Arabidopsis thaliana: one gene and its partners. The protein of the gene in region 1 interacts with the protein of each later gene in a pairwise test. Each region holds a gene or a part of one and is shown in the gene's direction. Other genes may lie near its edges. The genes, in order: WRKY9, AT3G11100, BBX26 and AGL21.

The links.
Region 2: the proteins of WRKY9 (region 1) and AT3G11100 interact in a two-hybrid assay, tested with the Arabidopsis thaliana proteins (one large-scale study listed by BioGRID).
Region 3: the proteins of WRKY9 (region 1) and BBX26 interact in a two-hybrid assay, tested with the Arabidopsis thaliana proteins (one large-scale study listed by BioGRID).
Region 4: the proteins of WRKY9 (region 1) and AGL21 interact in a two-hybrid assay, tested with the Arabidopsis thaliana proteins (one large-scale study listed by BioGRID).

The regions. Positions count from the first base shown.
Region 1 is NC_003070.9:25,540,313-25,548,434, forward strand, and holds WRKY9 (WRKY DNA-binding protein 9), read left to right. Parts: upstream 1-3,636; 5' UTR 3,637-3,657; coding exon 3,658-3,936; intron 3,937-4,014; coding exon 4,015-4,149; intron 4,150-4,233; coding exon 4,234-4,518; intron 4,519-4,602; coding exon 4,603-4,716; intron 4,717-4,991; coding exon 4,992-5,303; 3' UTR 5,304-5,479; downstream 5,480-8,122. Other genes in the region: AT1G68140 (zinc finger/BTB domain protein, putative (DUF1644)), read right to left, coding at 1-102; AT1G68160 (ZZ-type zinc finger protein, putative (DUF3755)), read right to left, coding at 5,856-5,906, 6,212-6,281, 6,357-6,418, 6,498-6,580, 7,124-7,241, 7,383-7,439, 7,831-7,930, 8,033-8,122. UniProt on the Arabidopsis thaliana protein: Transcription factor. Interacts specifically with the W box (5'-(T)TGAC[CT]-3'), a frequently occurring elicitor-responsive cis-acting element.
Region 2 is NC_003074.8:3,473,924-3,481,920, reverse strand, and holds AT3G11100 (sequence-specific DNA binding transcription factor), read left to right. Parts: upstream 1-4,020; 5' UTR 4,021-4,600; coding exon 4,601-5,336; intron 5,337-5,417; coding exon 5,418-5,431; 3' UTR 5,432-5,734; downstream 5,735-7,997. Other genes in the region: AT3G11120 (Ribosomal protein L41 family), read right to left, coding at 617-682, 782-793; AT3G11110 (RING/U-box superfamily protein), read right to left, coding at 1,466-1,942; LBD21 (LOB domain-containing protein 21), read right to left, coding at 6,388-6,885.
Region 3 is NC_003070.9:22,215,187-22,221,819, reverse strand, and holds BBX26 (B-box zinc finger family protein), read left to right. Parts: upstream 1-3,987; coding exon 3,988-4,743; downstream 4,744-6,633. Other genes in the region: AT1G60240 (NAC (No Apical Meristem) domain transcriptional regulator superfamily protein), read left to right, coding at 5,874-6,401.
Region 4 is NC_003075.7:17,833,090-17,843,120, reverse strand, and holds AGL21 (AGAMOUS-like 21), read left to right. Parts: upstream 1-4,151; 5' UTR 4,152-4,499; coding exon 4,500-4,681; intron 4,682-5,536; exon of another isoform or gene 5,537-6,359; coding exon 6,360-6,438; intron 6,439-6,583; coding exon 6,584-6,645; intron 6,646-6,769; coding exon 6,770-6,869; intron 6,870-6,959; coding exon of another isoform or gene 6,960-6,984; coding exon 6,985-7,026; intron 7,027-7,128; coding exon 7,129-7,212; intron 7,213-7,288; coding exon 7,289-7,426; 3' UTR 7,427-7,433; intron 7,434-7,528; 3' UTR 7,529-7,904; downstream 7,905-10,031. Other genes in the region: SHM1 (serine transhydroxymethyltransferase 1), read left to right, coding at 8,379-8,465, 8,572-8,622, 8,794-8,880, 8,976-9,097, 9,202-9,278, 9,358-9,482, 9,567-9,659, 9,747-9,839 and 1 more. UniProt on the Arabidopsis thaliana protein: Probable transcription factor.

The DNA.
Region 1 (8,122 bases):
TCTCGCCACAAGTCTTTTAGAAGATGGAAATTTGTATGGTTTTGCTCTTGCCCTGAAGCGTCGTGAAGGAACCCTACGTCCTGCCTTCCTAGCTTTGGCCATAATCTCAAAATCACACCTGTACAAATCCTCATCAAATTAGCAAAAGAACTCCACATAAAAGTTTGTAACAATACAAGTAGATATCTCTTCATGGAAACTACATATATTTTTCCAGTTCACCATTCAGCATACAACATGATTAGTAGTAGCATCCCACACTCTGATTTGGGAACTATTTCATGATAATGCTTTACATATGCATCTATAAAAGATATTTCACAACCTCATAGCAAACAAAGAGGGAGGTTCGAATAAACATGTTGAATTCATACATCCCTGGAATTGCATGATCAACAAACAATGCTAATCTATGAAACTTAAATCAAATCAAGGAACTCATACCGAAACGAAAAGAGATCAAACAAACGAAGTAATGTACCTCACTAGCTTGGAAGCCTAGAAAAGTGATTCAAACTCACAAGATAACTAACACAATGACAAAACCAAATCGACAAGTTATGGAAAGCAAACAGATGGAGAATCAATGTATAGAGATACCAAGAATAAAAACTGGTGAGACAAAGTCTCGCATCAAATCAAATACAGTTAATAAGATTACATAAAAGAAAATAAAAAAATAACAAAAGATGTGCAGACATGTTACAAGACAACCAAAAGGAACATGCTTCACAGAACAACTCACGCGACATGACAGTGAATCAATTATTAAACAAACAAAGGAGAAACCTTAGAATCTAATCTAATCCACATGGAACAAAGACCTTTGACACATCTCAGATCCATAGAAATTTATATAAAAATGTTAGCATAAATGTATAAGAAAGAACGAAATGCTCTCGATAACCCTAGAATTCAAAAACATAAGAATACACAGATGGATTCTGACAAGTTCAATTATACAATTCAACAAATTTTCAATGACTCATGAACCTAACCAGAAATCGGAAAAGTCATAGCTACACAAAATTCAGTTTTTCCAGCGGCGCACAAGTTCGAATTACATCAATATCTCGATAATCTAACACGGACCCACTAAAATCCGTAAGAAAAAAACACTAACCCAGATCGCAAATTAGACGAATAAGAGTAGAAACGAAGACAGAGAAGACGAACACGCAATAAAGACTTCACCTTTAGGGATTGAAATGAAAAAGATTAGGGTTTCAAGACACAGCGTAAGAAGACGAATAGGCTTGAATCGAGGGAGGGAGCGAGACCGAGAGAGGTAAGGTATTCAAAGGAAGAGAGGGAAGGAGGAAGACGAGTGGGACTGCGAGATTCGCGTGGAAGCGTCTCCACTGCTCCACCAAGCTCTGGTATCGGAGTTTCTCTTTCCTTCACGTCAAGTAAAACGTCCACGCGTCCTTACAATACGTAAGACTGACGCGCGTGCTTATTGTTTTAAAGGCCCTCTAAAAGTCCCTAATGGGCCTGGCCACGAATTAGACATATACTTATCCATAGTTAAAATTTGATATTGGACAGATCAATATATGGAGGATTTCAATTAAAGGTTGACTTAGTGACACAAAGAGATACAAAGAGACAATGGGAAATGCATTTGACCTTTTCTTAATTGTAATTATAAAATTTGAACGAGAGATATGGCTGCGGCGCCGCTTGCTCTCTTGTCCCACGTCTCCTCTGTCAAATGTTTTAGTTTTCCACTATATTACTATATGCTATATTTTTCTATATCTAAAATCAGCAAAAAGTTCTTTTTTGGTAAGATAAGTAAAACAAAACACATGCATATTCTTTTGACACATGCTTTCCCGTGTAAAGACGGATCATCATATTGTTGTGTTGAAATGTTAATCCAAAGTCCATAAGCTTGATTTGTTGTTGAAATGTTAATCTTAAGTCTATAAACTTTTTGGTACTCTAATAATATAGTAACTCCTCATATTGATAGTCATTCGATGATACTGCAACATTGTGTGTTTTGACTATAGATTTTATACAATTGTGAAACATTCATTATCCAATTTGATTTCTACGGATTAACCTCTTTTTTTTGTATCCGTAATCAACTCTGAATAAAATGGATACTTATAAAAAAAAAGTACTGTACGAAAAGTATATGTGGATAATCTTACATGATTTGCAAGTAACCTTATATTGTATGCTAATTCGATTTAAGATAACGATTTTATATAGGATTAGATCTACTAATGTAAATACTCTTAATAGATAGACAATTTCAAACGGTTGTCTCGGTAATAATATTAGTACAGAGCTGATAATTTTGTTGATAAAGTTTTTGGCAAGAAAGAAATTAAGTTAATAAAAGGACAGTTAGTATGAAAATAATAAAAATTAAAAGTCTTCTAGTTGACTATTTTTAGATCCGATCCCGAGGCAAGTATCTTGTTCTCGGTATTTTTGGTACGAATTATTAATTGCTAATTTGAATTTCACGTTAGTGATTATAATAAAAATAAATAAGATATCACATATAGACATCTTCTTAAAAGCACACTAACTAAAAGAAAAAAGAAAAAAAGAGACATGTCAAGTTTCTTTTATTTTTGTGTACATGTCAAGTTTGTAAACCATAGTTTATTGCTTAAATAAATCACATAACGCTTAAAAGAATCCAAAATCCGGACTTCACATATGTCACACATATTCTATCAACATAACCTGTATGTACATCGAAATCATAGAAAGAATATTTTAGGTTAGCTAGTAGCCTAGTACTAATGGGATAAATGAAATTAGTTATCCTTCTCTTAAAGATGAATCCTTGAGATCAAGAAATTTTGTGAGATTGTTCAACCAAACTAACAATAAAACTTATATTATTTGATACAATCTAAATATAGAATCAGTTAATTCTTTCTTTTTTCTTTCTCATATATATTTATGATCTCATAACACCAATTTGACTTTAAGAAGATATCTATTGAAATTTTCAAAACAACTTTAATAGGAAAATTCAAAATATATAGACAGCGCCATATTCTAGAATATTCTTACTCATTATGAATTTTTGAATGTTTTGATTTATAGACCTATCTATGATGTTGAATTGAGTAAATAAAAAGTTTAATGGTGCGTTTGATCTCACCCATCTTTTTCTTTATTCAGTATTCAATCTTTATAACTCTACCTTATTCGAAGAGATGAATTCATCTAGCTATAAACACATCAGTGACAAGTTTAAAAAAAATATCTACACGTTCGATGGTCTTCTGTATTTCACATGGTACCATCCATGTGAATGTGATGGGAAATTTCGCAGACCCTAATGCCGGCCATAAACTGGATTTACAAAACTAAACAATGTAATACAATTTTCAAAGAAACCGGATCTAATTATCTTATTGTCACTTAATAAACAAACTATATAAGAGAAGGGGAGGAATATATGTATACACTTTTTTATGACTACTAGGATGGTAACCAAAGTCATGATTCCATAGTAACTCCGGTTTAATTGCTTCAAAGGCCAAAACTAAGCTCTTTATTAAGTAACATGGATTAGTTTCTTCATAAAGATAAAACTAATTATTTAAACAAAGTCAAAGCTAGCTTTAGATGCGTACTAGAGTGAATAATACAAATAGTAAACGATATTCTGATCAGAAAATGGGATTTGACTTTAGCACTTCAAAATCCAAAGCTAAAAGACAAAAAAGAATAGAGGTTCGATTTGCATCTCCATTAATGGGCATCGATCTTTCTCTTAAGCTCGAGGCCGAGGAGAAAAAGAAAGAGATAGAAGGATCGAAACATAGCCGTGAGAACAAAGAAGACGAAGAACATGATGCTAGTGGTGATGAAGATGAACAAATGGTGAAAGAAGACGAAGATGATTCTTCTTCTTTAGGTTTAAGAACCCGAGAAGAAGAAAACGAACGTGAAGAGGTACCTACATGCGTATATATACATACATCAAAACATTTTATGTGCGAATATATGTTAACATCTATGGATGGCGATCAGCTCTTGCAGCTACAGATCCAGATGGAAAGTGTGAAAGAAGAGAATACTAGGTTGAGGAAGCTTGTCGAGCAGACTCTTGAAGATTATCGTCATCTTGAGATGAAATTCCCGGTTATCGATAAAACCAAGAAGATGGTGAGAAATTATTTCTTCATACACGTTATACATAGTGGTGACTGGTGATAATTAATATGAAACTTGATTGATGTTTTAACCTAGGATCTTGAAATGTTCCTTGGAGTACAAGGCAAACGATGTGTGGATATAACAAGTAAGGCTCGGAAAAGAGGAGCTGAGAGATCTCCGTCAATGGAAAGAGAAATAGGGCTTTCACTTTCTCTAGAGAAAAAACAGAAACAAGAAGAGAGCAAAGAAGCTGTTCAGTCTCATCACCAAAGATACAATAGTAGCAGCTTAGATATGAATATGCCACGTATCATTTCATCTTCTCAAGGTAATAGAAAGGCCAGGGTGTCCGTGAGGGCGAGATGTGAGACCGCAACAGTGAGTTTCTTTATATCATATCTTGGACTCAGTTTGGAGATTGGTAACATGATCATTTAATAAGAAAGATGTGTGTGTGTGTAGATGAATGATGGATGCCAATGGAGGAAGTACGGTCAGAAAACCGCGAAAGGGAATCCATGTCCTCGAGCTTATTACCGATGCACCGTGGCTCCAGGATGTCCCGTTAGAAAACAGGTAACTGCACACACCCTCAAATTCCGGGGTCTTACTATTTATTTATTCAAAGATAAGATTTTATGTTAGGGAACCATTTTGATCAATTTACTGATAACGTAGTATTTTATAGATCTTCCAACTCAAAACGAATTGGTAATGAGTTGATTCGTCTATGTACTTTATATATTACTTTATGTCCAATGTAGAATTCATAGCATGTCATAACCACATTTGAATGGAATGAAACTATGTATATATATATAGTTGATAATGAGATTTGTTACATTGTGAAGGTGCAAAGGTGTTTAGAAGACATGTCAATACTGATAACAACCTACGAAGGAACACATAACCATCCACTTCCGGTCGGAGCAACAGCCATGGCTTCCACTGCCTCTACTTCTCCATTCTTGTTACTCGATTCCAGTGACAACCTCTCTCATCCTTCCTATTACCAAACTCCTCAAGCCATAGACTCTTCTTTGATTACATACCCACAAAATAGCAGCTACAACAATCGAACCATAAGAAGCTTGAACTTTGATGGTCCATCTAGAGGAGATCACGTTTCATCTTCTCAAAACCGATTAAATTGGATGATGTAGAGTTTCCTATATCTCTATGCTTGTTCTTTGGTCCCATTATTTGTCATTATGGATTCTTTGCCTTTCTTCTTGTTCTCGTTTCTAACATTTATGTTTCGTATATACAACATCGAAGGTTTCGGATTGTTTTATTTCGTTCAATGTTGGCTTATGAAAAATAAAGATTGATTAATGCTAAGAAAAAATGGGTACCAAAACAACACACCAAAAGATCAAAAGATTAAAGATGCAAATCTCAACACGCTCTTCAATAGAATCTTTTTTTATACACATCGATCGCTTAGAAATTCTCCAAGACACTAATTGAACTAAGTTTATCTAATAGAACTTGTTAAGAAGGTTTTTTAGTTAGGAGCCAGGACCAAGAACCCCTACATTCGTTATATTATGTCTTGTTTCAACATCCCGCGCAGCAATAAAGATCGTTGGTGTTACGAAAGAATCACATTTCTACAAACTTCCCAACATTTGATGAGCTTTTTTTTACCTCCTCCAGCTTCTTTAGGATAATTTACAGGTAACTAAGGGAAACCAGATGATTTCCTAAGACTTCTACTTCCTATGGAAGCCGCCACTTTGCATCGTATTGAATGGCATCATCACCTGGTACAAATCGAGGAAACCAAAGTCATTGATATTGGGAAGCTATTATTCTTCTGCTCTATTTGCTCTTGATAGACATTTCTACAAACCAAAACATTGAAAAACTGGTCTTAAGATACTCAGCTAGTTAGAAGCACAATAATTCTATATTTTGAGCACTTGAACCAGAGATATGGGGTTTGAACTACGGTAGTGTCTGAGGTAAAACAAGCAAATGGGTGATGTGGACATTTTGATATCTAAAACAATGGACTGTTAATGCAAAAGTGAGCAGCCTATTAACTTACTAAAGTAGTATTACTCACCGAGAGATCATCATTGATTGTGACTGGCAATGGTGGCATCTTGTTCATCAATCCAGGCATATTATTTATCCTGCCAAATCAAGACAACGTCTGGTCACTAAGCTCCACAAAACTTATACACAAAATGTTTAAAGTATCAACTTACTCATTTTGGATGGTGATAAGGTTGTTCCTTGCCTGACGAAAGAGATCTAGGTTATCCCCTGCCTGTTTGCAATTATCATTACGGAGCGGTTTTAGCAAGAACACATTTGCATTCCTTTAAACAAGGTAATCTAGAACTTACCTTATATGAGGAGAGATTAGCTCTAATTTGACTAAAAGCTCGTACATTCTGTTCTATAAGATTTGTTGCATAGCTACTTAAATCTGAAACAGAACCACGAAAGAATCAGTAAGAAAAGAAAAGAGACTAAAGATTATTGTGACTTCAACAAAACTTCATATGAAAGAGAGCTTAAAGGATCATCTTTACAAGGTAATAGGATCAGAGAGCGGACTTAAATAGAATTTCACCATTTAAACATACAATAGTCATTATACTCCTTTACTAGATGTATGAAATAAATAATCTCAAGAATGCACCTCTAGAGAAGGACAATGCAGTTAAGAAACCAATTTCAGTATCTATGGGTAAAGGCTTCTTCCAAGACTAAACTACTTTAGAGACGTAGTTATGTTAGCATCGTCCCAAGAAGCTAAAAGTCTAGCTGAAATACACTAATCCCCTATGAACTTATTTATATAACAAAATACATACTTAAACGACATTTGCACCATAATACATACATCAAAACGTATTGCCTCCTTTTGAAAACAAAATATGATGTTAATGTGTGCATGTCAATGAAAAAAAAGACCTGGAGTTAGCAAATTCAGGTGGAAATCTCTCAGATAAAGATAGATGTTAACCTTCAGACGTAATTTGTTTACTGGTGCTTGTAGATGGCCCTGAGAAAGGATATGAAGCCATGTTATGAGGCAAAACAGAGGGAATGCTTGACTTAGACGACGATTCCACCTGCTTGCCCTGAAGAAATATAAATCTTTTAGTACAAAAACCTAAATTAATCAAAAGATATTCAATCTCAATCCTAGCATCATCTTTCAATCGAACTTACAAAAAAGTCACTCATCAAAATTGAACAAATGGCAAGAATTTCCAATATACCTTGCTAGAACTTGCTCTTCTTCCACAGTTTAATTCTTCTGATTTTCTTCTCTTTCTCTATGCAAAACAAAGTCAGTACATCAACAGACGAAGACAAAAGGTAAAAGTAAGAAATGATTCAGTATATAAGAGAAGAGAAGATTTTGTTCAAAACTCAAAGACTGTTATGCTCACTATTCTCATCTCAAGAACTCAATATTGATACAACTCAGGCATCAATAAGACCAAAAAGTCCATCCTAAGGCAAAACCATTTCATTCTGTGTACTGTAGTTTAAGAAGCTATGTATGAAATCAGAACATGTAGAAACTGTTCCCTGTGTATCATTTTTCTTTGCTATACATATATCATTCATGGCATAAGCGTAGAACTACATGACTGAAAAATGGTCACAAGAAAGCTACAAAAACCGTCAGAACAAGGCAGATATGTGAAGAGAGATACTTACCCTCAGCCACCTACACCGCAAAGCAATATCTCGAATACTTTTATCAGGTAAAGTGTTTCCAATTTGAATATACATATCAATACTTGGCATATCCTTATATCTACAAAAAACACAGAATCAGATCATATCAAATTCCACAGAACAAAAAACTATCTTCATATCCTCATTAATGTTAAGAAATCACAAAACAAGAAAGACTCACTTTTCAAGACCAGCATCCAATATGTATTGTTCTTCATTTGACCATTCACTAACCATGGAAGTATCAAGCTTTAGACCAGAACCCGAATCG
Region 2 (7,997 bases), on another chromosome or scaffold:
CCTAGCCGGCTTTTAATTATGGGCCTTATGGGCTTCGTTATTAGTCCTTTGTTAAAGACTAGCTTGCTTTTACTTAAATCTCATTCATTTTCTCTGTAAACGACTATCGATTAACAATGAATTAAAATCACTTTCTCCTACTGAACTAGAGAATTGATCTCGAGTGGAACATGGGTTGACCAATAATTTCCAAAGTTTGAATGCGAGTGCCCATTCGTTTTGGGGGATTGAATCAGAGATCCTTCATACCAGATCCACTATCGGACGTAAAGCAAAGCTAACTACTGGACTGCATTGGTACCGTAAGGGGCCAACTAGACTCTATTCCAGGAATCAAATAAGACAACTACAAGCATATTCACTTTGTTCCTATGATCAACTTCTAAAGCATCCATAGCTATATATTCCCTCCAATCATCAACATCTGAAGCAATCACCCAAATCTAATCTCAAAATTATAATTCAGAGAATAGTAGAACATCAACATTTGTAAGATATATAATAGAAAACATAACTTCCATATTAATTTGGTCCAACGAAACATTCAAACTGAAACTCAAAACAGAGTTGGATTTAACAACGAAAGCAAAACACAAAACCAGGTTTGTTCGAAAATCTACTTAGATCGCTGTCTCATCTTTCGTCTCTTCCTCTTTAATCTCCTCATACGCTTCTTCTTCCACTGTTACAACCCCAAAAACACCATCATTCCGTATTACCAACTATTATTCCGTATTAGAGAAAATTCATAATAGAAAACATATACAAGCCCATTTCTCACCTTAGCCCTCATGGTGAATTCACAGAAGATAAACTCTTCACTCCTCTGATTCTATGCAAATTTCAGGAAAATGAGCGGCCGCCAATTCAGAAAGATTTTGTTGCTTCCACTCATTTTGCTTCTTTATATGACAGCAAAACCCTAGACACTCGTTTCCTCTTTTTCCAAATATTGGGCCGATCGATACTAATTTTATGCCCAATAAAGCCCATACCGATGACTTTCTAAATTGTAACATGTTTTGTGCCTTTCTAAATTGTAACGAATACTTTTATTTTATTGAAATAATGGATTTAGAAAAAAATAGCATGTTATTTATACAGAAATATAGCACAGAATTTTACATGTAACTGTATCAAATATGAACATATCATTGTTTTATCATTTAGTTATTTACCTGAATTAATAAGTCCATTTACCCTTATAAACATCTACACAAAAATGTCTATCATCGTATGTTTAAAATACAGATGAAGTGATTATAAAAACTTCACAATCAATGATAAAGACAGAATATGAAAATTAAATCCTTTTAGAAAAAACCATAACCATTCGTGTGTGTGTAAACATCATCCTCCATCCATGTCCATGCAATACACAAGTATATGTATAAATCTTTACCCACACAATTACAAAAAAAAAAAACAAATTCATATCTTAATCACTATCACTCTAGCTGTCTCATTAGCTTGACGAGTCGACACGGATGGAGACTCGGCAGAGCGGACAACTCGACTCGGTTTTAAGCCACCGATCCACACATTCGCAGTGGTAACAATGGCTACACGGAGGAAGCACTTTCATCTTCTCTCCTTCTTCGAAACCACCTAGACATATACAACACTCCTTCTCCTCCTCCTCCTCCGCCCTTTCTCTCCGGCAAAGCACCACCGGCAAGCTCCGAATCTCCGCCGGATCAAGCCCTCCGCTACGGCAACGCGTGAGTCGATCGGGAGAGGACGCGTGGAGATTGATAGAATCCCGGGGGAGGCAGTTCCGGTGGATGTAGAGAGTGAGTAGTGCGAAGAAGAGCACGACGGAGAATAAAGCTAAGGCGAAGAAGAGTGTCCGGCCATGAATCTGGAAGTTCCGGTCGTCGTATTGATTCTCGTGCCAGTACAAAAGCATCGAGGCTTGTGGAGACGGTGAAGATGACGTCATTTTCCGGTTGGCGATGGATGGTTACTTACTTAATTCTGGCCGTTGATATATAGTATGTATAAAAACAGCGTCGTGATGTATATATATAGTATACTAGTGCTAATCTCAGTCACGTGATTGTATTTCCTTAAATAAAATAACAGAAAGAGAATATTAATTTGAGTTAAACAGCTTCCACAAGTAGTACAACTGTCTGTACAAGCAAGACTCAAGTTTGAAGGAAAGTGGGATTTTTTTTTGTTACTTTATATATTGTTTTAATTTGTCTTAATTAGTTTAGGAACAATAATAAAGACTATATTAGGCAACATGCACGTACGTTTGTGTGTTTTCGAGATCCCAATGGTAGCAACTGGCAAGTAGCAACATACTAAAATAAATAGCATTGTTTAATTATGCGTACAAACGAAATTGGCTACATTTTTAGTTGCTTCACCACCTATACTTGATCATGGATTAGCTCGATTACTTGGCTGCAGGATGTGATATTTGATATTATTGTAAAGTGATTTAAGAGTAACAATAATCGATTGCGTCTAAGATTCAGTTGACAAACTAAATTGTTTTACGTTCCAACTCACATCACTTTGATAACCTGTAAATCATGATTTATCTTTTCACATCTGCGTTTTCATAAGAAAGTTTGAAATGTATAAAAGATGCATGTAAACCAGTAAATGATGATAATGACATATTTAGTTTAGAAAACTATATGTAGTGATGTTAATATGGGCTAACCCACCCCAATTAAACCCATCCCATTTAAACCCACTCCATTTAACTTTAAACTCATATAAATCCATTTATTTTTGAAACCCATTTAACCCTACCCATTTAAATTTAGTAAATCCATGTGAACCCATTTAAACCAATTAAGTGAGATATTGCCTTTTATTAATTAATTCATAAACTTAATAGATAAATAACAACAGTCCATAAACATTAGCTAAATCTGAAATATTTATAATTTACTAAAATATAGATTTCAATAACATATAATGATAATAATATTTTCAAATTTGGCAAAAAATATTTTTTTTTGTGATTTTGGCGGGAAAACTTGATTTTACGGTTTTACGGGAAAATGTCGTTTACGGTTTTGGCGGAAATACGTGATTTTACGGTTTTGGCGGAAAACACTTTTTGTGATTTTGGCGGGAAAACGTGATTTTACGGTTTTGGCGGGAAAACGTGATTTTACGATTTTGGCGGGAAAACGTGATTTTACGATTTTGGCGGGTAAACGTGATTTTACGGGTTTGGCGAAAATACGTGATTTTCAATTTTGGTGGGAAAACGTCATTTTACAGTTTTGGCGGGAAAACGTGATTTTACGATTTTGGCGGAAAAACGTCGGTTTACGATTTTGGTGGGAAAATGTGATTTTCGATTTTGGTAAAAAACGTGATTTTGGTGGGAAAACGTAATTTTATGGGTTTTAGCGGAAAAACGTGATTTTACGTTTTGTTTTAAATATATTTAGTATTTTGCTCTTTATTTTAGTTATAATTAAGTTATCTACTTTTTAATAAAAATAACTAATATAAAATAAAACATAAATGGGTACCCATTTGTTTGTGGGTAAACCCATTTATTAAATAGGTTTAATTGGGGTAACCCATTTAACCCCATTTGATATTTTTCTCTAAATGGGTTTAAATGGGTTATTTTTTTTTGCACATACCCATTTAACAAATGGCTATTCAATGCCCAAGTTAACATCACTAACTATATGCTTATTTCTACTAGCTCTTCACCAAGACCATCGTGGAAACTTTGATCGACAGAAAAAACACCTCAGCTCTTTTTTCAAATATTTCAGCGACATTTTAGTAGTTATGAGGAAACAGTAGTAGTTAGGCATGGACTAACATATCAATTGGCGAGACAGCAAAAAGACAATTAGACAAGACACGGCACGAAACATACATTATAGACATAGAGTCTACGACCTAACACGTTTGCGATGCTCTCTCTTATTACCTAACAATTCGCCTGCTTACCTATTTCCTTAATTACATCCCACCATTTTTCACTTCCAAACTTCAATTTGTTACGGCGTAACGTAAATGATCTTGTTACTGGAATACACAAAACGTATAAATTTTCTTAATATTCTGATAACATTTCTTTCTTTCCAATTATGACTTTTAAAAACCACTACCAAAACTAATACAACCTCATATTTACTGTCTTTCCTAGAATACACAAAAATACACGTTATAAGATTTCCTATAATGACATGAACTGATGAGATTCTAGCCCTAATCGTTATTATCAATCAGTCTATGAGTTTAATAATGTAATCTTATCATCATTACCCGTAGAAACGCATTAAAAGAAGCTTGAAATTGACTATAACTAGTAGTAGCCTAGTTAGTAGGACTCTCAATTTATGATTAAACCGGTTTTCGATAACCGTTTTCGATAACCGGTTTTTCAGAAATGAGTGTGATTGATTCGGTTAGCAGAGGAAAAAGAGAGAGGTAGGAGAAAGAAGATAATCGCCGTTGCTGACGTCACCGCCGGTAATCAAAAATCTCTCCTTTAACCGTAATTTCTCTTTTAACTTTACCAAAAATCCGATCCAACAGAAATTCTTATCCTAAGCCTCTTTCTCCACCGCGCACGTTAGCCTCCTCTCTTTCCCACTCCGAGATGGAGACGACGCCGGAGACTCAGTCGAAGACTCACCGTCTACCGGCGGGAAGAGAGGATTGGTGGAGCGAAGACGCTACGGCGACATTGATCGAAGCTTGGGGAGATCGTTACGTCAATCTCAACCGGGGAAATCTCCGGCAAAACGATTGGAAAGAAGTCGCCGACGCCGTCAATTCAAGCCACGGGAATGGCCGGCCAAAGACCGATGTACAGTGCAAAAACCGGATCGATACGTTGAAGAAGAAGTACAAAACTGAAAAGGCGAAACCTTTATCGAATTGGTGCTTCTTTGATAGACTCGATTTCTTAATCGGTCCGGTTATGAAGAAATCGTCCGGTGCTGTTGTTAAATCGGCGTTGATGAACCCTAATTTGAATCCTACTGGATCTAAATCAACTGGTAGCTCTCTCGATGACGATGATGATGATGATGATGACGACGAAGAAGATGATGATGATGCGGGTGATTGGGGATTTGTGGTGAGGAAGCATCGTAAAGTTGAAGATGTAGATTCGAGTGAAGGATCAGCCTTTAGGGAGCTAGCGAGATCGATTCTGAAGTTAGGGGAAGCGTTTGAGAGAATCGAGGGGAAGAAGCAACAGATGATGATTGAATTGGAGAAACAGAGAATGGAAGTTGCAAAGGAGCTTGAGTTACAACGAATGAATATGTTGATGGAGATGCAATTGGAGCTTGAGAAATCTAAACTTGGGAAACGAAGAGCTGCTTCAGGTAAAGTTTTCATTTTTATGTGTGTTTTGTTGTGATTGATGAGTTTACTGAAACTTCAGTTGTGCTTTGTTTGTTGTATAGGTAAGAAGTTGTAGGATTGTAGATTGTGGAGGAGTTACTGATGTGAAGCAAGGAGCAATGGTTGGATCTAAAGCTCATACGATTTGGAGAAGATGTTATTATTATTGATCTTTAGGTTTTCTTAAGTTATAGCGCGATGCTTTTTTTCTTCTTCTTCTTTTTCATTCTCTTTTTTAGCATTGTAGAGTTACATTGGTAGTAGCAATGCGAATTACCAAAAGAACTCTCATAGTATCTGACATATCAAGATGTACTTTTGTGAAGTATCAATGTATGATGGTTTGTGTATCAGTGTCTGCAGTTCCAAATTGTGCTCATCTCTCTTTCTGTGATCTGCAATTACTCTTTTGCTTAGGCAGGTTTCAGGAATGTGTACAGACTTAACAAGATGCGTAGAACGGTTCTGAGGAGAACTCTTATCAGAGTCATTCATAATTCAGTTTGGAATTTGATCAAACCCACCAAGCTATTGATTTGGATGTTTGCTTATGTGACTTTGCTGCACTCTGGAATCTCCAGGACAAGACTCTTGTGGCCTGAGGGAGACGAGTTGACACATGAGGCTGTATTATTGGAGCCTCAAAAAAGAACATCATAGAAGCATATATATCAATGTTTCATGTTTGGTAGAATTTCGGGATGACATAAGCATGTGCTCTCCTATTCATACCTGACTTACAAAGAAGCTCTTCATCTAAAACACCTCACTTTACTCACCTTGGCCTACCACTTGGTCCAAAACTGGTAAGGACTCTGACCTTCCAAGGCTCATCTTGTACCTGAGTTATCTCATCGCATGTGATGGTTACTTTTGAAGTTAAAACCCTTTTTCATACATATGATGAAGTAAGCATCTGATTATGCATACTGGAATTCATACATTAGGGACAGACTTTAGATTGTCAAAGATAACTTGTAAAGCAAAGTGCAAATACAGCTGATAAAGAGATATATGATAGAGAGATAAGGCCTATACAAAAGGAGGCTGTCCAAGATCATACAAGTAAGCATCAAGATTAGTAGACCCATCAAGCAACATCAAGTCACTATAAGGTACAAGATCAAGAAAAGCAGCAAGCTCAGGAGAATCATCCAAAGGGGACACTTGGCTGTTGTTGACCCCAGAATGGGCAAGTAGTCGAGTGCGAGCAACAGCTAGATCGTGTTGAAGCTCGAGCATCTTCTTCTGCAGAGACGCTATGGCTCCAATGCAACCGTAAACAGGATCCTTGAGACGAACCTCAGCTTCATAAGCCAAGGAGTTAACGGTTTCTTGTCTCTGTTCTTCAGGAACTTCACCGAGAAGCTTACTGACGTTGCTGGCTCCAAAGACTTTATGGACTTTGGCGAAAGTTATCAAGTCACTTGAGCGGAAATAAGGAGCGAAAATGCAAGTGGGTGTGCATCGTCTCTTCAAGAGCTTGCAGGCTGCACAAGATGAGCTTGATCGTGGCTCATGCCCTCTCATCTCAAACTTTTTGTTTGTTTGTTTTGATTTTTTGGTGGTAAATGTTAGGCTCTCGTTTTTTCTAAGTTTTATCTCGTGCTTCCTTTATATATTGATAAGAGTCTTTTAACTTTTTGTGAAGAAGAGTGTTTTTGAAAGTAATAGAGAGAAGGAAACAAATGGGACAAGGCATGGGCCTATTCATCATTTGTGTTGGCTTTGAGCTTTTCCTTGCTAATTACATGATTGGTCGTGAGTTCGAGTCCATAAATCATAATCATATATTGAAAAATCAAAGGTACTATAGAGATAGAGAGAGTTAAAGTAACAACACATCAGCTAATTTTCTCTTTTATAGAAGAAGAAACAAGAGAAGCAAGACTTTTGGATTAGTGGAAACAAGTCAATCAAGCAAAATACAAAATAGCTTTCACTTTGCTCCAAATTGAAGAGGAAATTTCTTACAAAGTGGGCACCAATATAGAACTGAGCTTATATCACTTTTTGTGGTTCTTATTGTAGATTATACATAGCTTAAGCAAAAGAAAGTCAAATAATAAAATAAATAAAATCACAGGTAGCATATAAAAATTGGAGTGTGGAAATGGAGAAGACAAGACATTTGACAAGAAAAGTGAGAGAATGAGAAGCCCACCACCATCACCACCGTCCCCTTCACTATCCATTTTCTCTTCTTTCTTTGGCTTCCTCTTCTACTCATCATTCATTTTGGTTGTGAATTTATACCAATAACAAGAAAAACTTAACTCAAAACTTAAAATTTCTTTTGTTAAATCAAATATTCATAAATCTTAAGGACCTTAAATCTTTTAACCTTTATAATGAGTACACAAAACGATAATATTGTTATCTCTTAACCTTTGTGAATGAGTATAAATATACAAACAAGTAATGGTTTAAAGAAATTGCTAGTAGCAACTTAAAAAGAATTGTCATTTACTTAATTAAATCTTCTTATCTTGTCATTTCATAAATTAAATCGTAATATGTAATGCTTTCCATTCCTTTTCCACTATGGATTATAATCCCATAGGCTTACCTAAACTTTTCTAGTAGTTCACAGAGCTTAGCATATAATCACTCCCTTTCCTTAAGCCATTACCAAAAACCCA
Region 3 (6,633 bases), 3.3 Mb from region 1:
TCATTGGTATTCTGATTTTCTCAAGGGCAAAACCGCTTTTCTTGGTTCTCAAGGCATCACGGAATTGCAGAGCAACCTCTCTCCTTACTCCTAGTAATGAATTGCAATAATATATTCTGATGAATCCGTTGTCATAATGAGAAGCGTAATAAATTCATTCGAATATTATTTGTTTTCATTTATTTTACAATCAAATATTGATAACCGAATTGCTTCTTATTTCAAAATGGACTGAAAACAGTGCAAAAAAATCCCAATAATGTATGAAAAACTCAAAACTAAAGGCTTTTTTTTTGTAAAAACGCTAGAGTTATTTATTTCAACACGTGTTACACACTTTAAATAAATACAGTGGACCATATACTTTGTTTCTTCGTCACACAAATATTATCTCTAGTAGCAGTACAAGAGAAAGAGCATTAGAAATGGAACAGTTTTTTGCTCTGTTTACCATTTTTCTATCTTTTGCTTTCCCCGGGAGATGCAGCGACGTTTTCAGCAGATCTGATTTCCCCGAGGGATTCCTCTTCGGAGCTGGCACTTCTGCTTATCAGGTTTGGAATCAATTCCTAAGCTTTTTTTTTTTTTGGAATTTTTGAACCAAATGTTTGATCTCTGCAAGTGGGAAGGAGCTGCTGCGGAAGATGGAAGGAAACCTAGCGTGTGGGACACTCTTTGTTACTCTCGTAAGCTTTCATTTTAACATAAACTGTTATTAGCATCAGTATTTGAACAGATATATTTAGAAACAGAGATTAGTTGTTGCCTTTGAATTATTTATGCTTCTGATCAATTTTTTCGTTTCTAACTTTTCAGGTAACATTGGTAACGGAGATGTAACATGTGATGGGTATCACAAGTATAAGGTTCTTTCTCTTTTCTGCTTTACTCTCTCCTTGTGACTACTACTACATTATATAGTTTATTCATCAAGCCTGACTTCATTGTGACTTTGTAGGAAGATGTGAAGCTGATGGTAGACACTAACTTAGATGCCTTCAGATTCTCTATATCTTGGTCTAGGCTAATACCTAGTAAGCCTTCTTAAACATTTATGCCGGTTTTGTTTCACTTGAAGGGATCAACTTTATAATTAGCTCTTATCTCATTAGATGGAAGAGGCTCTGTTAACCAAAAGGGTCTACAGTTCTACAAGAACCTCATCAGCGAATTAATAACCCATGGGATTGAACCACATGTTACACTGTATCACTACGATCATCCTCAGTATCTTGAGGATGAATATGGAGGATGGGTCAACAATATGATGATGTAGGCTAAGAAAAAACAACATTAATTAAATCTCTTTTACAGATTTTCTAGGACAGTATTATGTGAAACTAAATTTGGTGTTATTTGGCATTGTAGCAAAGACTTCACTGCTTATGTAGATGTTTGTTTCAGAGAGTTTGGGAACTATGTCAAATTCTGGACCACTATCAATGAGGCTAATGTATTTACTATTGGAGGTTACAACGATGGGGATACACCGCCTGGTCGTTGTTCTTTACCGGGCAAAAACTGCTTGTTAGGGAACTCTTCTACTGAAACATATATTGTAGGCCATAACTTACTTCTTGCGCACGCCTCTGCTTCAAGACTATATAAGCAAAAGTACAAGGTATACTTGCTTATACATAACCCTCTTTTGAATGTATAAGAAGCAACATACTATATACAATGTGCAGGATAAGCAGGGTGGTTCCATAGGCTTTGGCTTATATTTAATGGGGTTGACTCCTTCTACAAGCTCCAAGGATGATGCCATTGCAACTCAAAGAGCCAAAGATTTCTATTTCGGTTGGTGAGTCAGGCACAAACAGTTCTAAAAGGTTTTTCAAATTGGGCAACATGTGCAAGATCTTAAGCTGAAAAGAAAGAAAATCTGCTCTTTAAAACTCAGGTTCCTTGGACCTCTTATATTTGGAGACTATCCAGATACAATGAAAAGAACCATTGGATCAAGACTGCCAGTTTTCTCAGAGGAAGAATCAGAACAAGTTAAAGGCTCATCTGACTTCATAGGAATCAATCATTAGTTTGCGGCTTCTGTCACAAACATCAAATTCAAACCTTCTATTTCTGGAAACCCGGACTTCTACTCAGACATGGGCGCATATGTGACTTGTATGAATCAGACTCATTCTTTTGTATAACAAAAAAAAAACCTCTTTTATCTTTATAATTTGTTACTACTCATTTTTTCTTCGTTTTACTGGTTAGAAGACCTTGGGAATTTTTCAGTTATAGAGGTAAGAGTTTTAAGGCTACCAAATTCAGATACAAAACACCTTATATTCCTTGACATTATAAGTCTTTAAACAAATAAGTGCTACTAATCTATCTTTCATTGTTTGTTTTGTTTTTGTTTGGACAAGTATCCTGTTGCTCCGTGGACTATGGAAGCTGTCCTAGAGTATATAAAGCAGAGCTATGACAATCCTCCTGTCTACATTCTTGAGAATGGTCAATCTCTTCTATGATTAATTTATTCGTCTCTCCCTCATGTTTTTGATTTGGACTTAAAATGTCATATACAAACAGGTACACCGATGACGCAACACAAGGATACACATAGGGTGGAATACATGAATGCTTACATTGGTGGTGTGCTCAAATCCATAAGGTAAGTAAAGTTTTTTTATTGCATCTTTTCTTCTCTTATCTTGTTCGTGTAATTAAGGAAAAGGACATTGCTACGTGTAGGAATGGATCAGACACTAGAGGCTATTTTGTATGGTCATTTATGGATTTATTCGAGCTTATAGGGCGGTACGATTATGGTTATGGATTGTACTCTGTAAATTTCAGTGATCCACATCGCAAGAGATCTCCTAGACTCTCTGCTCATTGGTACTCTGATTTTCTCAAGGGCAAAACTTCTTTTCTTGATTCCAAAGGCATCAAGGAATTGCAGAGCAACTTCTCTTCTTCCTCTTAGTACTGTGATGAAATAACTCTTATGTTCTACTGAATTTAGACTACTTGTCATGAGAGCCACTTCTTTTTTTCTATAAATTCTAAATTAAACTAGTTTAGTAACTTTACACGACAAAATAATGAGAAATCACAGATGCTGAATACAAGAATTGCCCGTTTTTAAATGCTAAAAAGAAATTCGTACCCAGGCCTAAGCATGACATCAAGTTCAAGCTAGCATTGTATCAAAAAACCATATTACAGAACCATACAAACACTTGAATAGTTAGTAACTCTTAGCAAAGTTGTTTTTTACACAAAAGCATGCTAATCCGCATCAAAAAAGAGACACAAAAGAGCAGCTTCAAATTCATATACCATCCATTGTTAAGGCTGCATTTCCACATTAAAAAGAACAAAAGCGCAGCTTCCTACCTACATGTGAAAATCATAACAAAGACTGATCAGAAACTTAAGTATGTAAGTACTAAGCTAACAATCTAAACTCTAAAGCAAAATAGTTATACAAAAAAAAAAAACTCATTAATTTACCTGTTTGTCCCCCGTTTGGTTATGTTGATAAAGTTGGGATATTTTTTTCTTCAAAAAAAAAAGATTTCTACATCAAAATTTAAGAAACGACATTATTCTTACTGATCTTTAAGATCCGATAAAAGGAAAAAAAAAAACTTTATTCTTAACAAAAAAATGAGAAACAAGGATCAATTTTTCAAATATCATATAATTATCTTTTTTCTTTCTTATTCTCAATTAATAAATGTAATGTTGAATTTTGAGAATAATTTATAGTTAAAGATAAGTATATAACTTAGTAAAATATATCCTTCTACATAATCAGTTTGTTAAAAAAAAATCTACAAATTAGAAACTCCATCTAAATACGAGCTTCACAGATTGTTTCACAGAGAAAACAAAACTTTGGCTTCCTTCTCTCCTTGGTTCGTGTAAGTTGAATGTTTTTTTTTATTTTAAATTCGTGTTTCTTCTCTTCCGTTTTGCGAAGTTGATAATTTTGTTATAATCTTATATGAATATTTTTCAGGAAACATGGCTCAAGTTTGTCACACATGTAGACATGTAACAGCCGTGATCCATTGTGTTACAGAAGCTCTTAACTTCTGCCTTACATGTGACAACCTTCGCCATCATAATAACATACATGCAGAACACGTACGTTACCAACTTTGCGATAACTGCTCGATGTATCCGTCTATACTTTTCTGTTATGAGGACGGGATGGTTCTTTGTCAATCATGTTATTCGCACCATTACAATTGTGCCACTAATGGCCATCAAACTCAAGTCGTCTTCGCTAACATGAATAATCAACACCATGATCATGCACATATGCCTCATGTGGTTCACCATAACAATAACAATAATCATCAGCAGCAGCATGTGGGTGGTCACCAAAGAAGAGCAGAGATGTTTGAGAGGAGCTGCCACGGGGATAACAATTGCGAGAGATGGATGTTTGCAATGAGATGTGAGTTATGCGTAGCTTCGAATTCAAATGCTGTTGTTTATTGTCCTACACACAACCAGATTCTATGCGATAGTTGCGACCGGATGATTCACAGTCACGAGGACGCGGTGCCGCCGCATTCGAGGTGTAAGCTTTGCGTAATCTGCAAGAGACCTTCTCGCCGTTTTCTCATTGGCGGCTATCAGTTTAATTTCCCACCGGTTCATCCTCCTGCGGCAGAGGGGATTCCAGTTACGCCCCCAACAGAACTACCTCAACAAGATATTAATTATGATTATCTAGATGATGTTGATGATTTTTCTTGGTTTGGTAGGTGAATAGAAAATCGTCTTCTTTAGCTTTTTATTTATGTGTGTTTCTTAGAGTTTTCGTTAGGGGTTTAATTCTTGGTGTTATAATTGCTTCTGGATTTGAAAAAGAAAAGAAGAAGAAAAAAAAAACAATCAGTTGGATTTAATATGTTAGAAGAAAATAAAATGTCAAAACTAACTCCAATTTGTTCGAGGATGGAAGATATCATATCTTGATGTATGTATATCTCATCATTTAACTAGAAACTATCTAGAAACCACAATTACCGAAAAAACATAAAACAATTTTGCTAAAATGTTAAGAACACAAATTAATTTGATTAACAATCGATGCTTAAGGGGTTTATAGGAATTAAATAATATTTTTTTTTCAACAATAAAATTAAATTTCACTTTGCGATTTTAATTTTATTTAAGAAAGTCAAGAACCAACTCCAATATTTCCGGGGATGTGATTTTCTCAATAAAATCGTCTAATTATCTTGATTTTTGATGTTGTTGTTGTACTTTACGTGAATATCTCACAATTAGTAAGCAGAGTAGAAGATTTTGATTAGTATGACGACAAAAAATAGTACAAATAAAATTTACATGACCTTTTTTGTGTTAAAAAAAGTTACATGATGTTCTGCAAGAAAATATGCTTGTATAATAAATAATTTTTATTAATATTTTATTTCTGACTATTTTCTTCAATAAGAGAAAACATAGTCATTTTGTAAAAGGAAAGAACGAAATAAAAATGCAAATTCTTCACGTTTTGTTAAATAGATCTAATTTAGTTCTTATTTAAGAACTTAATATTACATCTTTAAACCAAAGTAAAATATACAAATATTGACAACTATCGGTCTAATTATTTCAATAAGCAAAGATTATAGAATAATTTCGTTAAGTGTATATATCGAAGAGAAAAAAACAAAGGACAAATCGGTCAATTCACTAATTTGATATAAACGGTACCAACAGATGACGAAGCGCCTCTCTATATATAGAGTACCTTCTTTCCCAAGAAACACTATCATCTTCATATTTTACATCTTCCGTTTCTTGTTTCTCTCCCTTCATCAATCATCATCAGCATTTTCCTTAAATCTTCTTCTTCTAAGAGATCTTAGTTTCACTGAAGAACGAAGATGATGAAGTCAAGACGTGAACAATCAATCGAAGAAGCAATCGTCGCAAATTATTTGAAGATGATGATCGATAACGTAAACGTTTGGCCTCGCCACTTCCTCCGAAGCGAAGACGTGTACTGCAAGAATCCGTGGACGCTTTTCGTTACTAGAGATCCTATAATCCTACACTTCGGACGATACTTCTTCGTTAATCGGAGTGTGAATTCAGGTTTAACCGATGGATGTGAATACGGTTGTTGGAGAATCATCGGTCGTGATAGAGTGATCAAGTCGGTGACGACCGGGAAGATTCTAGGGTTAAAGAAGGTTTATAAGTTCTGTGAAACTGATCGGAAACCGAAATCGGTTTTTAAGTTCTTGGAAAAGGAGAAGAGAAGAGTAAGAGATAGACGAATCTGGGCGATGGAAGAGTATAGGTTTGCAAGTACGTGGAAACAAGATTACGTGATCTGCAAGATTCGACGTCTGTATCCACAACCATTTGACTACATGTTGGCCCAGCACATTCGAGGTTACTATAAATGAATCACTGATATTCTGATCCTGGATTTGAACACTCGATTACTGTTTTTGGTGTCACGTTATTGAACCCGTTGTTTGGGAATTTTCATGTATTCTCATTATCCAGTTTCTTGATTTCTCTCATTCATCTTTGTTCAATCTTTTTGTTTGTTTGGGGCAAATCGTCTCTGTACAATCTTTATGTTACTAGAATTGAAAAGAAAGATTGGTGGAATCGTTTTAAAACTGTGGCATC
Region 4 (10,031 bases), on another chromosome or scaffold:
ATTTTTCTTAACAATAAAGAGGTGAAAATCCCTAGTTCCACCACGTTATTTTTGGGTGGATTTGCAAAGAAATGACAATATCAACATTTTCTATTTTTTAGAATGCATGTGTCTCGTAGAGCAACTTTATTTTTTTAATAATAAATAGCTAAGAGAAGAGAGAGATTCAAGGATGGTAGTTGTAGTAGTCTGTAAGCGTGGGATACAGCAAAAAAATTCCCAACAATGTCTTTAACATAATTAGAACAAAGCATCCAAAAAACCAGCAATACTAGAGATTATTTCTTATTTTTATATGCTATTTTTTTGTTTTATCATAAAAGTTATCTAGATGTTAGATTTTGAAATCCATGTTGTATGATTTTCAAATCCATTTAATTTGATTTTAAATAAATAAAATCCGCATAATTTTAAAACTTTTTAGAAAATATTTAAATCCATTAAAATCCATGAACCAATAAACGCCTCTAATGTAGGAAGAAGTTACCAAATGTTTGATCAATTAATGGAGACGTCAGTACTAGTAGAATCTGAATCTAATGGTTTAAGCCTCGTTATATAATGGTTCGCGGTCAAAAAAAAAAAAAAAAAAACTCTTTGTTTAGTGGGCTTCTGGTTTGGGCCATCAGAATAATAAGGAAGGTCTTACGAACTGATCATCGAATCATGGCACAAGTCCATAAACATCTTTGCAAATATCAATAAAATTAGATTCGTACATACATACGCATAATATAGAGGGCATCTATTGTAACGAATAATGGATCTTATAATTAAATTATTTGATTGTAAATGGCAAATAAATTTTGGCCACTCTTTAGTAAAATTAATGGTCAATTCCTTTTTTAGCTATACCCCAATTATGCAACACACTACCGCTTTAAATCATGCTCTGATATCCCCCGGATTACTTTAAGAACTACATGTAACGAAAAATGAATCATTATATAAAAATGAAAATTCAAAATATAGTGAGCTATGATGACATTTTCAACTAGTGTTACCGTTGATCTCGACTGCTTTGTTTATTAAATGCACATTATTGACTATGGTTTATTATATATTAAAGCTAACAACAATTACCTATTGATACGTTGGTTCAGTGTGTGTGACGCTTGGTCTGATTTTTTTTTTTTTTTTTTTAGTAAAAAAATTCTAGGAATTTTAATAAAGGAATTTCAAAACTTCTATAAATTTTTCGTGCTCATATTCTTCATTTTCAGTGACCGCTTTTTTTCTATTAAACCGTAAGAAATTTAATTAAAATATAATATCAAAATCCTATATCCAAAAACCAAAATTAAATCCTAAGCTTGTATTGTTAACTTTAATTAGCGTTTTAAACGCACAAAGTTATCAAGACTGCAACGATATTGGAGGAGAAAACATATACGGCAAAGGACCACTGACATATACCCAATGACTTTTGCTGTGGTTTTTTTCTTCTTCTCTCGCGTATGCGTCTCCTTCTCGTAAGTATGTTTGTCGAAAAATAAGAAAGCTAGTTTCTTATAACTCCAATAAAAGAACTATCATTTTTAGCAATTTATAAAACCAATACACCATAATTTCTCTTTATTATTTTTAGTTATCTTTGGTATAGTATCGAATCTTAAATTAATTACTATCAGAGGTATACACTAAAAATGAAATAATGGCCACAACTTTGGAACATTTAGTACAATTTCCACCAGTCTTCAAGTTCCAAGGCCATCTTTTAAACTCGACCTTTGCAGTTACATACTAAAATTATTATTATCTTCGGAAATCTGAGAACATGTTTAAATTATAAACTTTATGGACCCAATATGTGGGATTTAAGTTTTAAAACATCAAAAGGGACACCACCTTATCTCCTTTTCTTGGTCTGATCAATAATCTAAACAAGGTTTATTATCATTCACACTACCACTCTGATTACCCTCTCACGTGAATTCTATAGCACCAACCAGAAAAAAAAAAACTATACTTTATAGAACCAATATCTATTATACATTTTCACTTAACATATTTTTTTGTCAAATGGTAGACGACTACTTATGAAGAATAATGGAGACTAATTATGAAGAATAATGAAACATTACGGTATTCAAATGGGAATATAATCTCTGTTCTTGACTAAACTAATTGGACATAAACGCATGATGAAAAGTTAAATCTAAAATATAGCATTAATTATATACTTAACATGCTTTGTTGGTGTAAAGTTCCAAGAATCACCTGAAAAACTATATTCTATATTTATAACAATAGGTGTCTGTAATATAAATCTGCTACTTGAACAACAGATAGTCAGTAGTATGGGTGTATTATTTAAACTCTATAGTAAGCAATTTAATTTGGTAAAGAAATAGGTCATCTGTGAAACCTATTACTCTTTGGTAACTAGCTCTTATGGATTACAGATTCTATACATGTGTTAGATATTTGGTTTAGTCATTACAAAACATTTCTTAAGAAATAGGTCTTATATATATACACAGCAAAGATAAACACACACAATTACACAAAACAAATATTGTTAAAGGGGTTTTAAGAACCAAAATAAACAAAGATTGTGATAATTCTAGATTGTTTATGTTTTAGACTTGAAAAATATGGAAAACGTAGACAATAGGCTTGAAACGTAAAAGAAAGAGTGGTATAAACCCGTCGAACTAAAGATAATAATGATTATAATTGGTAAAATCGAAATGATTCGCTGATGATTGACACCTGGCGTGAATGAGACTGAATCTTTTATCTTAAGAGGACGATAATTGGGGATTTGGTCACTTGGAAGTTGGAAGCAACTTTAAGATTCTTTGTTAATAGAAAAAGAGCCAAATCTGAATTTGAGTTTGAGATTCGAGATGTGATTGGTTCGAAGCAGTCCAGCCCACGTGGTCTTAATAGATCTTTAATTATCATGTTATCTATCTGGGGCCCACCTAAATCTTATACATCAACGGTATAAAATCGAACTTGGTTATTAGGGTTTGAGCTTGGTTTAGTTCGGTTTAAAGGACATTTGCTACTTTTAAATCAAATTCAATTGATGGATACATTCGCGCTAGGGGTGGTGATTTATGGCAAGTTTGAGGGTTGGTCAAAGTTAAAGTTTAGACATTCAAAGAAACTAAAATAAACACACAAAAATAGTTAGTAATGAAGGATCAGGTGTACGGATTCTGCGGTGGAGCGTGCGAAGACTTCCATCAATTGGTGTTCTCAGGAGCTGTTCCTGCTTCTCCCACGTGTGCCTGTCACAAATGCATATTACATTTTAGATTGTATATTTGCAATATGCATAAGCTTGAAATATAAGTTACGGTTTATATATATATGGCCTTCTGAGTGAAAATATTCTATATATAAGTGAAAATTTTGTATAGCTCATTTCATTATGATATTGAACGCGAGTTGCTTTGAGTAGAAATCAAGCATTAAGCCATCGAAAGTAACAGACGTTATATAGTTATTTGATATTAAATTTCTTGCCATATTTGGAAACTTACGACAAAACAATTAATATGATGAATCTCCGCAACTCCAAGTCCCTGTCTGACACGTGTACTTGATATCGTTTAAAATCATTTATTAATTGACACAAAAATAATTTATTCATTTGTATTTCTACCGAAAGCCATATGGACTAATATATGTTGTACTAGATTAATACTGTATGTTTTTGTTCAATCCATTCTCTTACTTTTTTGGGTAAATATCTTTTGGACAGATCTAATTAATATAGTATAAGTTTTCCTATGACCATAATAAAGGGCCAGAATATTTTTAATTTTCTTTTAATCACCTCTAAAAGATACTAATTAAATTAAGTAAAGCAGCATATAAAGCAAGAGGGTTTTGTCAGAGAAACACAGTCCTGTGATGCGCCCATTCACTATTTTCACATGACATTTGAAATAAGACTTAAGAATAAATTATAAATAATGTACGGACATGTTAAAAAGGAAATATTATTGATAATGGAAATTTACCTAACTCACACTAAGTTTAATATTATTTCACTCCTTTTTATCTAAACAATTCCATTAAGTTTCCACTATCTCCCGTAATAAACAAACTATAAAAAAGAATCAGTGATTAAAGTTGTATATATGACACACATTTAAGCTATATCTATATATTCTCTTAACCTAGGAACTTTATAAGAACTTCTCTCTATTTCATTGGTTTGATAAAATCATACACACAAATACTAATTTTGGACTAGAAATTTAGTACTTTTCTATGTATTAAATCTACCCAAAAATGTCTCAAACTGAGAGGTGAGTGTGTATGTGTGTGTGTGCATATGCATATATATACTTAGTTTATTCCTCGAATAGATTGTTGACTCTTGGCTCAACCTTCCTCTCTCTCTATTTCTACCTTTCTCTTTCTCCTTATTCGTTCATCTTCATATTCCCTTCCCTTTTGGGCTTGGTAAGATCTACAAAAAAAAAAACCCTAAAAAAGAGAAGAACCAGAGGAGATTCAATTAGAGGATAAAATTGATGGGAAGAGGGAAGATTGTGATCCAAAGGATCGATGATTCAACGAGTAGACAAGTCACTTTCTCCAAACGAAGAAAGGGCCTTATCAAGAAAGCCAAAGAGCTAGCTATTCTCTGTGATGCCGAGGTCGGTCTCATCATCTTCTCTAGCACCGGAAAGCTCTATGACTTTGCAAGCTCCAGGTTCTTCTTTTAAAATTATTCATTCTGAAATCTTTATATCTTCTTGATTTTGTGGATGTACATCTACGGAGATGTTGTGTACCACTGTATGCATATAATTTTATGCTACGGTTTTGTTTATTAGAAGGCTTGGTGATATTCACTGAGATATATGTAGCTGTGGGATCTATTCAAATATAGTGGAATTTTTTCGCATCTGGCGGTCCGTAGAACATGTTACATTAATTTTCCCGTATGTACAATAAGATGTGTCTTGTATAGCCGACAAACAGTTTTCTTACAACAAAGAAAGATTAAAAATGAGGTAGAAGTTTTAAAGAAGAGTAATATTTTTGAAGCTGAAAAAATAATTTGAAGTAGTTTCTTTGCTTCATATTTGGGTGATTATATGTACCCATCATCAGTATGTTTTGAAGTACTTTCCTAACATATGTTTATGTGTATGGACATTGACTTATAACTAACTAAGGCTCATTGTTTGCATTTTCCAAATTTAGATATGTTTCAGAAATAGATGAGAAAACAAGTGTGAATGCCCAAACATCACTATTGGAAAGCTAAAAAAGAATTATAATTGGAGACCACGAGTTAGAAGATTGGTATGTAGAGGACTTAATTTCTCAAATCCAATAAACTGGAAGCTGATTTAGTTTAACCCACTAACAAAATGATCTATTTATACTCGTAAACATAAACATGTTTTTGATATTTATATATAATCATATATATTATTACTAAACGATCAGATTACTCTGTATATTTAACTTTATATCTGCAAAATCGTTATAATTGTCTATTTTCTGAGTAAGTTATTCTTTGTTAAAAGTTTGATTAATATAAAAAAAATATAGAGATAAAAAACTAATTATTAGAAAACATATATAAACATGTAATTCTAAATCATATAATATTTTGATTATATATTTTGAAAATTTATATAATTTCATATTTATCAATTAAAACAACCAAATAAAAGAGTATGGTAATGCGAATTTTTGTTTTTCCCTATTTTCCTTGAGGAATTTTATATTAGCATCAACCTTAAGCATTATTAATTCTTCACGTTTGTCTTTTGATAACATTTCTCATGTATCATAGGGTTTACGAACCTCTTGGTAAATGAAATTACTTAGCATATTTAGTCAAGTTTATATACCATTCTTAAAACTAACTAACACCATGTTATTGTTTGCTTGGATTTAAAATAAAGTGTGCCATGCTAATGCATTACATTTATGTCATTTTGTTTATAGCTTAGAACTGGATTCCTTTAAAGTTCTTGCTTATCTACACCCTAGAAATAACATTTAAGCATTTGTTTTTGTTACTTATTGAAAAAAGAAACTAACATCTACTTACTTTATATATAGTTTATCTAGTTTGTGTAACAAATTCGTATTACTGCTGAGTTCAAGATTATATACATTATGTGAAATGTATGTATGTGTACATATATAAGCGTGTGTAAATAATGTTGCCAATGCAGGAAAGTCTATATTGCACAAATTTCTAGGCTATGAGTTTTTTCTTTACGTATGAAAGCTTTTTAATGGAGTACTTGGAAAAACTTCACGATCGAAAATTAATATCTTTTACGTAATTTACTCTAAGAGATGATATGATATGAGTGAATTATATACCATGAACAAGGTATACTAATATTAAATATTTTGAATAGCATGAAGTCGGTTATTGATAGATACAACAAGAGCAAGATCGAGCAACAACAACTATTGAACCCCGCATCAGAAGTCAAGGTATACATATAGATATAGCGACAACTCTAAAGATATGTGATTATATATTGATTGATGCTTTAGCATGATGTTTGATTTTTGAAATGAGATTTTGGTTTACTGAGCTGTTCAAAGTTTGATGAGTTATTTGTGTTGTGTGTTACAGTTTTGGCAGAGAGAAGCTGCTGTTCTAAGACAAGAACTGCATGCTTTGCAAGAAAATCATCGGTATCGCCTTGAACTTTTATAACATTTTGTATTAAGAATTAGTCTTTGATCAAAATATAGAAGGCATGTAAAGGAAATGAAGAAACTTGTAGTTATGGATTGCGGTATGTTTGCTATGAAGCAGGCAAATGATGGGAGAACAGCTAAATGGTTTAAGTGTTAACGAGCTAAACAGTCTTGAGAATCAAATTGAGATAAGTTTGCGTGGAATTCGTATGAGAAAGGTACATAAATACATATACTCTACCTTCTATTATATGCTTTGGAGTGTATTACTCAAAAGATTGACTATAGAACACAACGGAAATCAATAGAACGATTGCTTTTCCGGATTCACAGGAACAACTGTTGACTCAAGAAATCCAAGAACTAAGCCAAAAGGTCACTATGATGAGATATATATATACACACACTGACACACACAAATATCCCCTACCAAAAGTTACAATTCTAATTTTGGGATTTTTGTTGATCGTGGTGCAGAGGAATCTTATTCATCAGGAAAACCTCGATTTATCTAGGAAAGTACAACGGATTCATCAAGAAAATGTGGAGCTCTACAAGAAGGTAACAAATCATGTTTTACAAAAACTCCATTTTCTTTGGAGTAAGAGCTTCGAAGTGATATGGCTTCGACTTTCAGGCTTATATGGCAAACACAAACGGGTTTACACACCGTGAAGTAGCTGTTGCGGATGATGAATCACACACTCAGATTCGGCTGCAACTAAGCCAGCCTGAACATTCCGATTATGACACTCCACCAAGAGCAAACGAATAACAGAGAGGTAAACTTTTTTAATTGATCTTGATGTTTCACAAACATGCATGCACCATTTAGGCATTTTATATATTTTATGTAACTCGTTAAAAACTTTCACAGATTGAAGTTGGAAGATACCATGATGTTGAAGAACACTCCAAAGGCCTTGGTTTGAATAAGGTTCTTGAACTGGAAACCTCTATACACCAAGCCACGTACGATAAGCAGCATGGTTCTTCTAACATAGTCATATTTTCAATCCTAAATATAATTAAAGCATATATAATTAAAATCCGGTGTTGTTATACTCATCTTGAGTATTAATATTGTACTTGTTTATAACCATAGATTCGTCAATTAATAGAGAAAAATCATATGAATTATTATCCTCAAAACTCTCTCAAATATCAATATTCTTAGATCAATAATTTGTTTAATATATATAACCATGCACTTGGTAATTCTAAAATGTTAAATAAACATTTTCTGTTAAGTTTTTTGTTTTGTTGGTTTTATTTTGTAAATTCACCATAATTCTGTTAATCTTATTCCCCCAAACTAACCGGTTTGGAAACTATATAAATTAAATTGATGTGTGATAACTGAATCGGTTATCGTTGACTGCACTGACCAGAAACCAATAAAGGTTCTGTCTTAAAGGGAAACAAATCATCGTCGTCACCAAATCATCACAATTCACAAAGGTTGGTGTAGACAGGGACCTGAGAGATAACGACAAAGAAACAACAAATATAAAATAAAAATCAGAAGAAAATATAAATAAAAAAAGAGGGAAAAAATTCGAAAATTTGCTGCAACCACCAAAAGCTCAGCCAAAAGCAGAGGCCACAATTCTCTCAAACAAGATAAACCCAATTTTGTTATTTTTGTTCTCTCTTCTCTCTCGTTCATGTTTCAAATCTGTTTCTAGGGTTTCACAAACCAGAGATAGAGAGAGGTTTAGCGAAAAATGGCGATGGCCATGGCTCTTCGAAGGCTTTCTTCTTCAATTGACAAACCCATTCGTCCTCTTATTCGATCCACTTCATGTTACATGGTAACAACCCTAAAGTTTCTTCCTTTTATCTCCGAATTTTATAATCGGATTGGAAATTTTCGATTTTTTTTTTTTTTTTTTCTGATTTCTGTTTGTTCCGTTGCAGTCTTCTTTGCCCAGTGAAGCTGTTGATGAGAAGGAAAGATCTCGTGTCACTGTGAGTTTAAGCGCCTTTTTGTATCTCTTGTTTGTTTATAGTTTTCCTTGTGGTTGAAGCAATGGTTTTGATTGTTGAAGTTCTATGTCTGTTTCAAATTGATGTATGGAGTTCTATTTTTGGTGTGACTGAATCTAATGAAACTTATGTCTTTGTAAACGTTCGTTTCAGTGGCCAAAACAGCTTAACGCACCTTTAGAGGAGGTTGATCCTGAGATTGCTGACATTATTGAGCATGAGAAAGCTAGACAATGGAAGGTTAGTTTGTCTCTGAGATTACTATCTCTTAAATCTTGTTCCTTGATTGATTATTATAAGTTAGGCTGATGTTTGTAACGCTTGTGTTATTATAGGGACTTGAACTTATTCCATCTGAGAACTTCACATCTGTGTCGGTGATGCAAGCTGTTGGGTCTGTCATGACTAACAAATACAGTGAAGGCTATCCTGGTGCCAGATACTATGGAGGAAATGAGTATGTTCAGGAATTTTCAATCTGACACATTTAGTTTCAGGACATGATTGCTTGACCAATCTCTGTAATAAGAATTGAAATCTCAAGTACCTTTTGCTTTGTAGGTATATAGACATGGCAGAAACCTTATGCCAGAAGCGCGCTCTTGAAGCTTTCCGGTTAGATCCTGAAAAGTGGGGAGGTAAATTACTACTTTCATGTATATGAGAAACAAGAAATCTGATTAGTCCTTTGATGGCTTATTTGACTGGATCTTACAGTGAATGTTCAACCTTTGTCTGGATCTCCTGCCAACTTCCATGTGTACACTGCATTGTTAAAGCCTCATGAAAGAATCATGGCACTTGATCTTCCTCATGGTGGTCATCTTTCTCATGGTTATCAGGTGCCTTCAAGTTAACTTTGTATGTCATTTCGGAACTCTCTGACTCTGATGAATAACAGTTTCTTTCTTCTTATTTCTCATCAGACTGACACCAAGAAGATATCAGCTGTGTCTATCTTCTTTGAAACAATGCCCTATAGATTGGACGAGAGCACTGGCTACATCGACTACGATCAGGTTCTTAACTCTTCTATTAAGCAATCATAGTAACTTATAACTAACCCGCTTCATAACAATACATAAGTCTTTAATTTTGATTTGCAGATGGAGAAAAGTGCTACTCTTTTCAGGCCAAAATTGATTGTTGCTGGTGCAAGTGCTTATGCTAGATTGTATGACTATGCCCGCATCAGAAAGGTAATTTCAGTCTCATATCCAACTACAGAACAGATTATTGTAATCAGTAGTGAGTTTTGATTCGAACTCTTTTCCCAGGTCTGTAACAAGCAAAAAGCTGTAATGCTAGCAGATATGGCACACATCAGTGGTTTGGTTGCTGCTAATGTAATCCCTTCACCGTTCGACTATGCTGATGTTGTAACCACCACA